3 linked regions of the Cricetulus griseus genome follow. The protein of the gene in region 3 interacts with the protein of the main gene of each other region in a pairwise test. Links are inferred from orthologs where the notes say so. Each region holds a gene or a part of one and is shown on either strand. Other genes may lie near its edges. The genes, in order: Meox1, Arid5a and cyclin-dependent kinases regulatory subunit 1.

What was found.
Region 1: the proteins of cyclin-dependent kinases regulatory subunit 1 (region 3) and Meox1 interact in binary tests that used the Homo sapiens proteins (3 or more experiments, as listed by UniProt). The two-hybrid records come from large-scale screens. The link is inferred for Cricetulus griseus from reciprocal best matches to the Homo sapiens genes CKS1B and MEOX1.
Region 2: the proteins of cyclin-dependent kinases regulatory subunit 1 (region 3) and Arid5a interact in binary tests that used the Homo sapiens proteins (3 or more experiments, as listed by UniProt). The two-hybrid records come from large-scale screens. The link is inferred for Cricetulus griseus from reciprocal best matches to the Homo sapiens genes CKS1B and ARID5A.

Annotation. Positions count from the first base shown.
Region 1 is NC_048600.1:116,217,255-116,220,137, reverse strand, and holds part of Meox1 (homeobox protein MOX-1), read right to left. Parts: intron 757-2,883; coding exon 584-756; intron 1-583. UniProt on the Homo sapiens protein: Mesodermal transcription factor that plays a key role in somitogenesis and is specifically required for sclerotome development. Required for maintenance of the sclerotome polarity and formation of the cranio-cervical joints.
Region 2 is NW_023276807.1:11,889,706-11,893,794, reverse strand, and holds the start of Arid5a (AT-rich interactive domain-containing protein 5A), read left to right. Parts: upstream 1-1,184; 5' UTR 1,185-1,297; coding exon 1,298-1,301; intron 1,302-4,089. UniProt on the Homo sapiens protein: DNA-binding protein that may regulate transcription and act as a repressor by binding to AT-rich stretches in the promoter region of target genes.
Region 3 is NC_048596.1:133,403,120-133,405,254, reverse strand, and holds cyclin-dependent kinases regulatory subunit 1, read right to left. Parts: upstream 927-2,135; 5' UTR 889-926; coding exon 646-888; 3' UTR 600-645; downstream 1-599.

The sequences.
Region 1 (2,883 bases), on a different chromosome or scaffold from region 3:
GGCACTATCTCTGGAGACCAGGCTAGCCTCGAACTCACAGAGATCTGCCTGCCTCTGCCTCCCGAGTGCTGGGATTAAAGGTGTGCGCCACCAACGTCCGGTCCCAGCACATCTTTTGATTTCCTTGAAGATAGTTCCTTAGGCTGGACTCAGTGCCCTGTGCCCAGGGTAGCCTTGAGCTCACAATCCTCCTGTCTCTACCTCCCAAGTGCTGGGGTTTACAGGTAGGTGCCACAACACTTGGTTTTCAGAATCTCCATTTGAACAGTTGCCTAGGTGAATCGGAGGCAAATGCTGGTTCAAGTTTGGGGGAAATCAGATCTCAGCTGTTCTAATCCTTGGTCACATGAGAGTTACCTGGGAGGCCTTTGAAAACCTGGGCTGCCTAAGTTCCATCCCAGACCAATTACAGTCACCTCCATGAGTAGAACTCTGATAATTCTCCCTGAGATGGTTGATTGTCAGGCACAGTAGTGGTTGAGAACCACTGGCTGGGTAGAGGAAAGGAACGGTGTTCAGGCAGGGGCCATGTAACGGGAGATGAATGGACAGCAGAGAAGCTCTGACAAGCCAGGGACCCCACCTGCCGCTCTGAAAGGTCCAGGTTGACTGCGATCTCGTATCTACGCAGCCTGGTCAGGTAGTTATGGTGGGCGAACTCAGCCTCTAGCTCCCGCAACTGCTCCTTGGTGAAGGCGGTCCTTTCCTTCCGGGCCTTGCTGCTACCTTCCGGTTTTCCTCCATTCTCCTGGTTGTCTGTGAAGAGAAGGCCCCAAATGGAGGAGACATGAATGAGCCGCCAGGGACTCAGTTCCCTTCCATTAGTCCGTTAAATAGCTGGGCAGCATTCTGTGGCATCTGTCATTCTTTTTTTTTATGATTTATTTAACTTTATTTTATGTGCATTGGTGTGAACTCAAGTTACAGACAGTTTGTGAGCTGCCATATGGGTGCTGAGAATTGAACCCAGGACCTCTGGAAGAGCAGTCAGTGCTCTTAACCTCTGAGCCATCTCTCCAGCCCCAGCCTCTGTCATTCTTAAGATGCTCAAGAAATATTTTTAGTCCCAGTCTCAGGTGCATTCAGAACCCCCTCCCCCTAACACACCCACAAGATTTCTCCAAGGCACATGAAACTGGGCTTGACTGAAGTCTCTGTACCCAGTTAGTGCTAAAAGCTGAAGCATCGCCCACCCCAACCCCACAGCAACCTGTTTTGACAAGCCCTCCTGATCATTCCGGTGCAGGGTCAAGGTTATACACCACTGCTTTAAGACCAGATTGCTGGAATATTCCCTGGGCCCCAGCAGTGTCAACGGGACAGGGAAGCTGGTCATACACACTGGAGTCTGCTCCAGAAGGGCAAGTCTGGAGAACCTTCTGGAACTCTTGGGCTTCTGTTAGACATAGGGGTTCAGTCCTGACCCATGACAGGGCCAGGAAACAGTGTCCCTACCTGCATTTGCTTCATCCTCTCCACACTAATCCAACTGAGTGGTTTCAGTATTGATCATGTTTTACAGACCAAACACAAGAATGAATTCACCTAATTGCTAAGTGGGGGAGGACCCAGGCGATTTGATTCATACACTGTCCCAGTATGAGATAGTTTTGTTCACAGTTCACAGACTGTGAAGTCTGGTGCAGATGGACAGACTGCATCTAGAATGAAAAGGCCTTCCTATTTCAAGAACTGGCTGCTGGCTGTGCCTCTCCGTTGACAGCTGTAGTGACAGAGGCCATAGGCAGGGGACGAACACATCTGTAGAATTAACTAACAACTAACAAGACTGGACAGTCAACTGCCACAGGAACCCTTCCTGCCTGGGCAGGGGGACATAAGACATCGGGCTTTCTCTTCCATACCTCTTTTTAGTCTTGGAGACCCTGGGTCAGGAAATATGTTTTATGCGAGCTGTGCTCTATCTAATTACATTGGTACACACCTAGCTGAGGTCCTTAGTCCTCAGAGACTTTGAGCACCTGCAGGAAAGGATGCAGGCCCGATGAGTCAGGCAAGGGAAAGCACTACACCCTCAGCTTCGAAGCCAACTTGTGGAGATGGCTGGGGACCCCACTTGAACCCTGAGATCCCATTTGTAACTCTGATCCTGGCTGCTTCCCCTCTCAGGCAACCTGTTTGTACTTTAGGTTTTTTTTTTTAGCTGTCATCTCCTCATCCGGCTGTCTGGGCTGGGGAGAAACCAGGAGGGTGGCTGGAAGTCACAGGAGTGGGGTGGGGGAGGGCGCTCACCTCCCAATGGGGTCCACGGTGGAGTCCCCCCACAGGCTAAGGGAGGGGGTGAGCCAGCCACTGGCTCCTGGCCAGAAAAGGTGGGCCCAGACCCGTCATGGATGCTGGAGCAGCCGCAGCGTGGTCTGGACTGGAAGGATGTGCAGCCCCGGGGCGGGTCCCCTAGGAGTCCTCTGGCCTTGGCCACTGCCAGCGCCACTAACCCTCCTGGCGGCAAGCCCGGCAGTGTCGGTCACGAAGCAGCGGATGCGAAGGCCTCCCCAAGTACATCTCAGCCAGTTGAGGCCAGGAAGCTGGGGAACCCCTGTCCCGGGGCCACGGATTTTCCCAGCCCCTCTTTGTCGCAGTTGCAGGGAGTGGATGGGCCAGGGGAGTTTTAATGGGGATTCAATCTCAACTGATCTTTTTCCCAAGAAAGTGGAGAAAATAAAGCACCTACTTTCAAAGCTAATCTTTTTAAAGACAGAATTTCATGTTCGGGCTGGCCTCAAGCTTGAACGGCAGTGGAAGAATTCATCTTCCTGCCTCCACTTCTCAAGTGCTGGGTCAATGCACCATGCCTGGCTTGCCAAGGCTATACTCTCAAAAAACGCAACACAGGAATCTTGGTTTCCATGTCTTCGGGAAGAC
Region 2 (4,089 bases), on a different chromosome or scaffold from region 3:
AATGTATACAAGTGGAACTAGAAGCTTGTGAAGTTTCCGGGTGGTATCTTTTGGCAGATAGCATCTCTGCCGATTCAGGTCTCTTGGGGTGGAGTATGGCTTGTAATCTTAGATGTGGGAGGTACTGTTGCAATGGTTATTCTGGTGATTATTCTGACCAGTTAATAAATATTGACAACAGTGTGTCTGTTACCCGATCTTTGAAGGCTGGCTGTTACAATTGTCCCACCAAGCCCAGTGATGCCTGCTCCAGGCTGAGCTTGCAGATCTGCCATTCCAGAGCTGATGGATAAGGGCCTGAGGATCAGAGTCACCAAAAGCAGCCAGGTCCACTTGCTCAGTGTGAAGGGGAGCACTGAAATGTTGGGAGGATGCCTGTGGAGCCCTCCTCATCTGTGTCCCTATTCCTGGGTTGAGCTCTAGCCCCACCATTGATGAGCTATATGAGGTAATAAATCTCCCAGGCCTGTTTTGCTCTATAAAATGCAGACAATGATGGTGTGAAATGCAGAGAGCTATATGAATATAATAATTAATGAACAGAATTTGATTCTGGGGATACCAACTACATACTAGGAACAGAGTTCAAGTCCAAGCTTTTCGGCTGCTGAGGCTTTCTGCTTTTAAATCCCAAGTCTTAGCTTCATCTTCTATGACCCACACAGGTCCAACTGACTGCTCTGCCTCCTCTTGTCCCCACTCACCACAAGCCTCACCCTTCTCTCCCTCACTTCCTCTTTGCACTGTTCAGCTTGTGGCTGTCATTCAGTCTACATGGCATATGTGGACATGGGCACTGCGGGCAGGCCTAGGGCATTAGGCCTGAGCCACGAACTTTCTAGACTGGACCCTGGTAGGCTAAAGGTACTTACCTCTCTGTGTGAATGAAAGCTGAATAGTATGGAATTGGCCAGGACCACTTGAGGTCAAAGTCAGAAGCACTTTGTTTAACCCCGCTGGAGAGAGCGGGCAGTTTTCTAAGACTCTAGTTTTGCCTCTAGGGAAACAGACCCAGGGCGGCCATGATTCTTGAGTGTGCATCATGAACCCCTCGCAGACAAGTGAGCGCACACTACAACTTCCAGACTTCCTCGGGCTCAAGGGGCGGAGCCCTCCCCGCCCCAGAAGATAGGATCCACCAATAGGAGCTCAGAGCGCAGTGGGGCGGGACCAGGGGCGGGACCGCGGGGTGGCGGCAGTCGAGCCGCAGCGCGAGTCAGTCGCGCCGAGAGCGCTGGGGCCGGACGGCTCCGCTCGTCGAGGGTCTCCGGTCAGCGACGCGCGATCTCGCTGGGCCATGGGTAAGCGGCTGGCGGGCGGCGCCGGGGTCGGAGGGCTGGGGACCCGGAGCGATCGCGACCCGCGGGTCAACCCGGGTGTCTGTGTGCTCTCTCCTCGTGGAAAGTCGGGGCGGCCAGGGGCTTCCCAGGCGTTTATCTCGAAACTCTCCTCTCCGGCTCTGGACTGAAATTCACTGAGCCGCCCACACTTCCTGCTGCGGTTTCAATCTCAAGCTGCTCTGGGCCCATTTGTTGTGACAGCTGTCAGCAACAGCTTCTCGGCCGCGGGCCCCTCCCTGCCCCGTGCCAGCCCAGCGCTTCTCAGAACCGGAGGCGCCCGGGCCGCGCGCCGCGCTTCCCACTGCGGCCGCGATTCCTGAAAGTGACTGCGCGGGTTTTGAAGAACTTGCTCAATGCACTTTGAAGAATCAATGGTTCCTCTTTCTGCCGAGGGACGTGCTGATGGTTTGACGGTCTCAGGCTTCAGGTCCTTCTCTTCTCTCTTCCCTTCCCCTTTCTTTTTGTTTCTCTCTTTCTCTTTCCAGCCCCTGGCAGGAAAGATGCTCCTTTTTACTTGCCCGGTCTTCTGACTTACCCTCTCTTCCCTCGGGTCTCTCCAGAGAGACCGGGTGGTGGCCTTGGACTGGGGGTGATTAGTGGAGAAAGAACAGAAGGGCAGGCTGCCAGAGTACAACGAACAAGTTTGGCTTTGATCTCAAGCTCGAACTAGGGGCACAACCACGCCACCACATCTGCGACCCTCCACACCGCCCAGGCATCATATGCCCTGGCTGGGGTCACACCCCATGCCTTGGCCCACAGGCGCAGTGGGGTTGCCAATCCTGGGCCTGGAAGGCCTCAAATTCATCCCAAGTCGTGCTGCTCCAAGCCTGCATCTCCTTGTTTGCAGAGTCTTCCGTTTCAGAGGACGGGTCACAGCAGCCAAAGGAGGGTAACAGGTGCTCCTTGCCCCGCCCCGTGGACACTGTTGGGAGTTGATACGCATCTAAGGGTCTCAGTGCCTAACCAGCATGCCAGAGCAGGGGAGGGTGGGAGATGCTAGCTTGAGAGTCTGGTCTCCAAGCAGTTAGAGTCCAGACTGATTGCTTAGCCTAGAACTTGAAGCGACAGAGGTGGAATGGGCCTCAGAATCAACCCCCACCTCTCTTTTATTACATAGAATCGGAGAGGCAGACTCAGGCTGATAGCGAGTGAGGGCCAGGCTTCCAAGCCTCCTTGCCCTTCACTCCTTCCTGGTGCCCTTCTGTTGCTCTGGGTGGGAAGCTGGTCTATAAATGGTCTACATTCCCTCTTGGACCGGGGTAGCAGCCACCGTGGTGGGACGAGGAGAATGGGAGGAGGATGGAAAAGTGGTTAGGTAGGGAAGTACCCTGTGTAAGGGTTCTACCTCTACTGTTGAGTCACCCCTCTGAGCTCTGTTTTTTCTCCATAGGTGGGGTGGGAAAACCGGAAATGATCCATATATAGGGCTGTTTTCACCAAACACATGGACAGAGGGGCGGGGCCATGGGGACTCAGTCCTTCCAGGAGTAGGATCTCTTAGACTATTTCAGAGCTGGGTAGCACTGGGATTCTGGACTCTCATACCTGGTGCCCATATATCCCTCTCTGCCTTACTTACCTTTCAGAACTCCCATCTTGTCTCTAGTCACTAACAGACCTTGCTCTCCCTGCCTTGGCAGAGGTGCCAAGGCTAGGCTTTGGCTGGTTCAGGATCCGCATACTCCTGTCCAGCTGTCCTCAAGGCTGGCCCTTGACAGGACTACCCCGCCCCCACCGCCTCCCCAAACTGCCCACTGGAGCAAGCCCAAGGAGAAGAATGCCAGGCAGCAGGCTTCTGGGCCACAGAGTGGACTGGCCGCTTCAAAGGCTGTCTTTGTTTCCTCTCCAGCTTGAGCTAAGAGAAACTTAAGCCAACAACCTCAGGCAAGGGGGCGGGGCTGTGTCTGCTGGTTGTTATTGAGGTTGCCTGCCGCTGCCATTATTGTTGTAATTGACGTCGTGTTCCCAGTCAGTGAGTTTTCATGAAAGGAAGTGTCACTTCCTTCCCATCACACTGAGGGTGACTGGGGTAGGCAAATGAAAGAGAGAGAAGGAAAGTGGTGCCCACGCCTTGCGAGCCTGTCAGCTCATGGGAGGTGTGTGGCTTTGAACACTCCGGGAGCACCAGAGTTCCCAGATCAAGGAGACTCATCCCGCAGACTTAGACCAGTCTTTCAGGACCCTAGGGAGAATCGGATACCATGGGGACAGGCAGGTGTCAGTATGGGTGTGTGCACACTTTCACTTGTGATTTGTTGGGAAAGCCTCATTTCTTGCTTTCTTCAAGCTTAGAATACTGGCCATTGAGTCTAGCACACCCGTCTTACAGAGATGAGGGAACAGACCTACAGAAGCAGAGATGGAGGTGATAAGAGACACACCCTGCATGGCATGGTGGAGCATGCCTATAGTCCCAACACTGGGAAGTCTGATCCAGAGAACCATAAATTCAAGGCCAATCTGGGCTACATAGAGAGACCCAAGCAAACAAATAGACAAGAGGCATCCATGTGGTACTAAAGCCCCCTCCTCCTCCATCCTGCAAGGTTTCATCTGATCTCAGCTCACTGGCTGGCAGGGCAGGGGGCAGGCATACAGGGGCCTCTAGATCACCTATCCCACAGCCTCACTGAATCCTACAGGGTATCCCTCACTACTTTCATCTTCCCCCTTTACACAAAGCCATTGTCTACCCAGAGAGCAGGTCCCCCCTTCTTCAGGGATTCTCAGTAGTGTCCAGTGGTTT
Region 3 (2,135 bases):
TTAGTGGTTTTTTTTGGTCAAAAATCAGGTGTTTTTAGGTGTGTGGGTTAATATCAGGGTTTTCAATTCAATTTCATTGGTCTACCTGTCCATTTTTGTGCCAATACCAAGCTGTTTTCAGAACTATAGCTCTATAATAGAGCTTTAAGTCAGGGATGGTGATACCTCCAGAAGTTCCTTTATTTTTTTATTTTTTTATATTATAAAAACTTCCTTTAATCAAGGCTTGTAACATGGAAGAGATTTGTCAGATAAAATGGAAAGTTTCCAATATATTGAAACATAAATCCGTAAGTCACCATAAATACAATACCCAATAGTAAAAACCACAACAGGAAATTCACACTATCCCTGTAACAGCCATGATCTGATTTTCACATGCTTCCCAGAGATGGCAAGTATGGATATGCCTACTGGATAAAGAGCACACCAGGTCTTTGAGGTCACACTCATCTGACAGGTTGTGGCATTGGTGGCTCAGCTCAAGAAGCAAAGCAGGTACCAACACAATCAAACAATGTTTTGAACAAACATCCTTTAAATGTCAAAGTGAGAAATAAGAAAGCAACATAATCATGCTATCAGAAGGTGTAGGAAGGAAGGACAGCTGTGTAAAGCTTGAGTTTGAAAGGTGGTTCAACAGCTTCATTTCTTTGGCTTCTTGGGTAGTGGCTGCCGGAAGAGTAAGATGTGAAGTTCTGGTTCATGGATCATCATATAATGGACCCATCCTTGACTCTGCTGAACGCCAAGATTTCTCCATTCAGATTCAGACATCAAATGCGTTTTAGGGACCAGCTTGGCTATGTCTTTGGGCAACATGACATGCCGGTACTCGAACTCCTCGTCATCGTATTTGTCCAAATAGTAAATCTGTTTGTGCGACATGACTGCTCAGCCCGAGGGCCCTCAGCCCCGCACCGCCGGCCTCCTGATGACTCCCAGAAGTTCCTTTATTGTACAGGTTGTTTGGCTATCCTGGGTTTTTTGTTTTTCCATATAAAGTTGAGTATTTTTCTTTCAAGGTCTGTGAAGAACTGTGCTGGGATTTTGATGGGGATTATGTTGAATCTGTAGATTGCTTTTGGCAAGATTGCCATTCTTACTGTGTTGATCTTACTTATCCAAGAGCATGGGAGGTCTTTCCATTTTCTGGTATCTTCTTTAATTTCTTTCTTTAAAGACTCAAAATTCTTATTATACAGGTCTTTCACTTGTTTGGTTAGAGTTAGCCCCCAAGATATTTTATGTTGTTTGTGGCTATGGTGAAGGGTGATGTTTCTCTGATTTCTTTCTCAGCCATATTCATCTATATATAGTAGGGCTACCTTTTTTTTGTTGTTGTTGTTAATCTTGTATCCTGCCACTTTGCTGAAGGTGTTTATCAGCGGTAGGAGTTCCCTGGTAGAATTTTTTGGGTCACTTATGTAAACTATTATATCATCTGCAAATAGTGAAAATTTGCCTTCTTCCTTTCCAATTTGTATCCCCTTGATCTCCTTTTGTTGTCTTATTGCTCTAGTAATGGGTTACCTCCAGCCAGCTCTGGGCAAATATGCTACAGAATGTTTGCAGAACTACAAAATCCCCTAAAATATATTTTTTTTTCTGAAATCTTCCCATCACCAAGCAAAGCATGACTATATACTGAATGAAGAAATGAGGACATGACTGCTCCAGATATGGTGGAGGACAAGATTTATTGTAGATATGAGGGAGACAACAGCCAGAGGCATCTGGAAGGGTCCATATAAACTGTGCCATGAGAGAAGGGGTGCAGGGGTAGGAGTGAGAGGAAGAGAAGAGTGGAGAAAGGAGGAGGCCAAGAGGGGAACCAAGAGACCAAGAGACTGCATGCTCAAAAAGGTTGAGATTATAGGGGGATCAGAGGCTGGGGGAGGAGAAACCCAGACCATGGGCTGAAGAGAGGTTGAGGCTAGGGGGCAGCATATGCCACTCAAGATGACTCTGTGACAGGTTATTTGTGAGTAGGGACTGAGAGAGACTGGTCACCAGAATCAGCTTTGATATGTTAAAGAGGCACCTCAGCCATTTGTCTGTGGTTTCTGTGAGATCTAACGTTCCAGCCTTTTGTGGGTGATAAAGGGTGATGGAATCTTTTCTATTACTGCTTC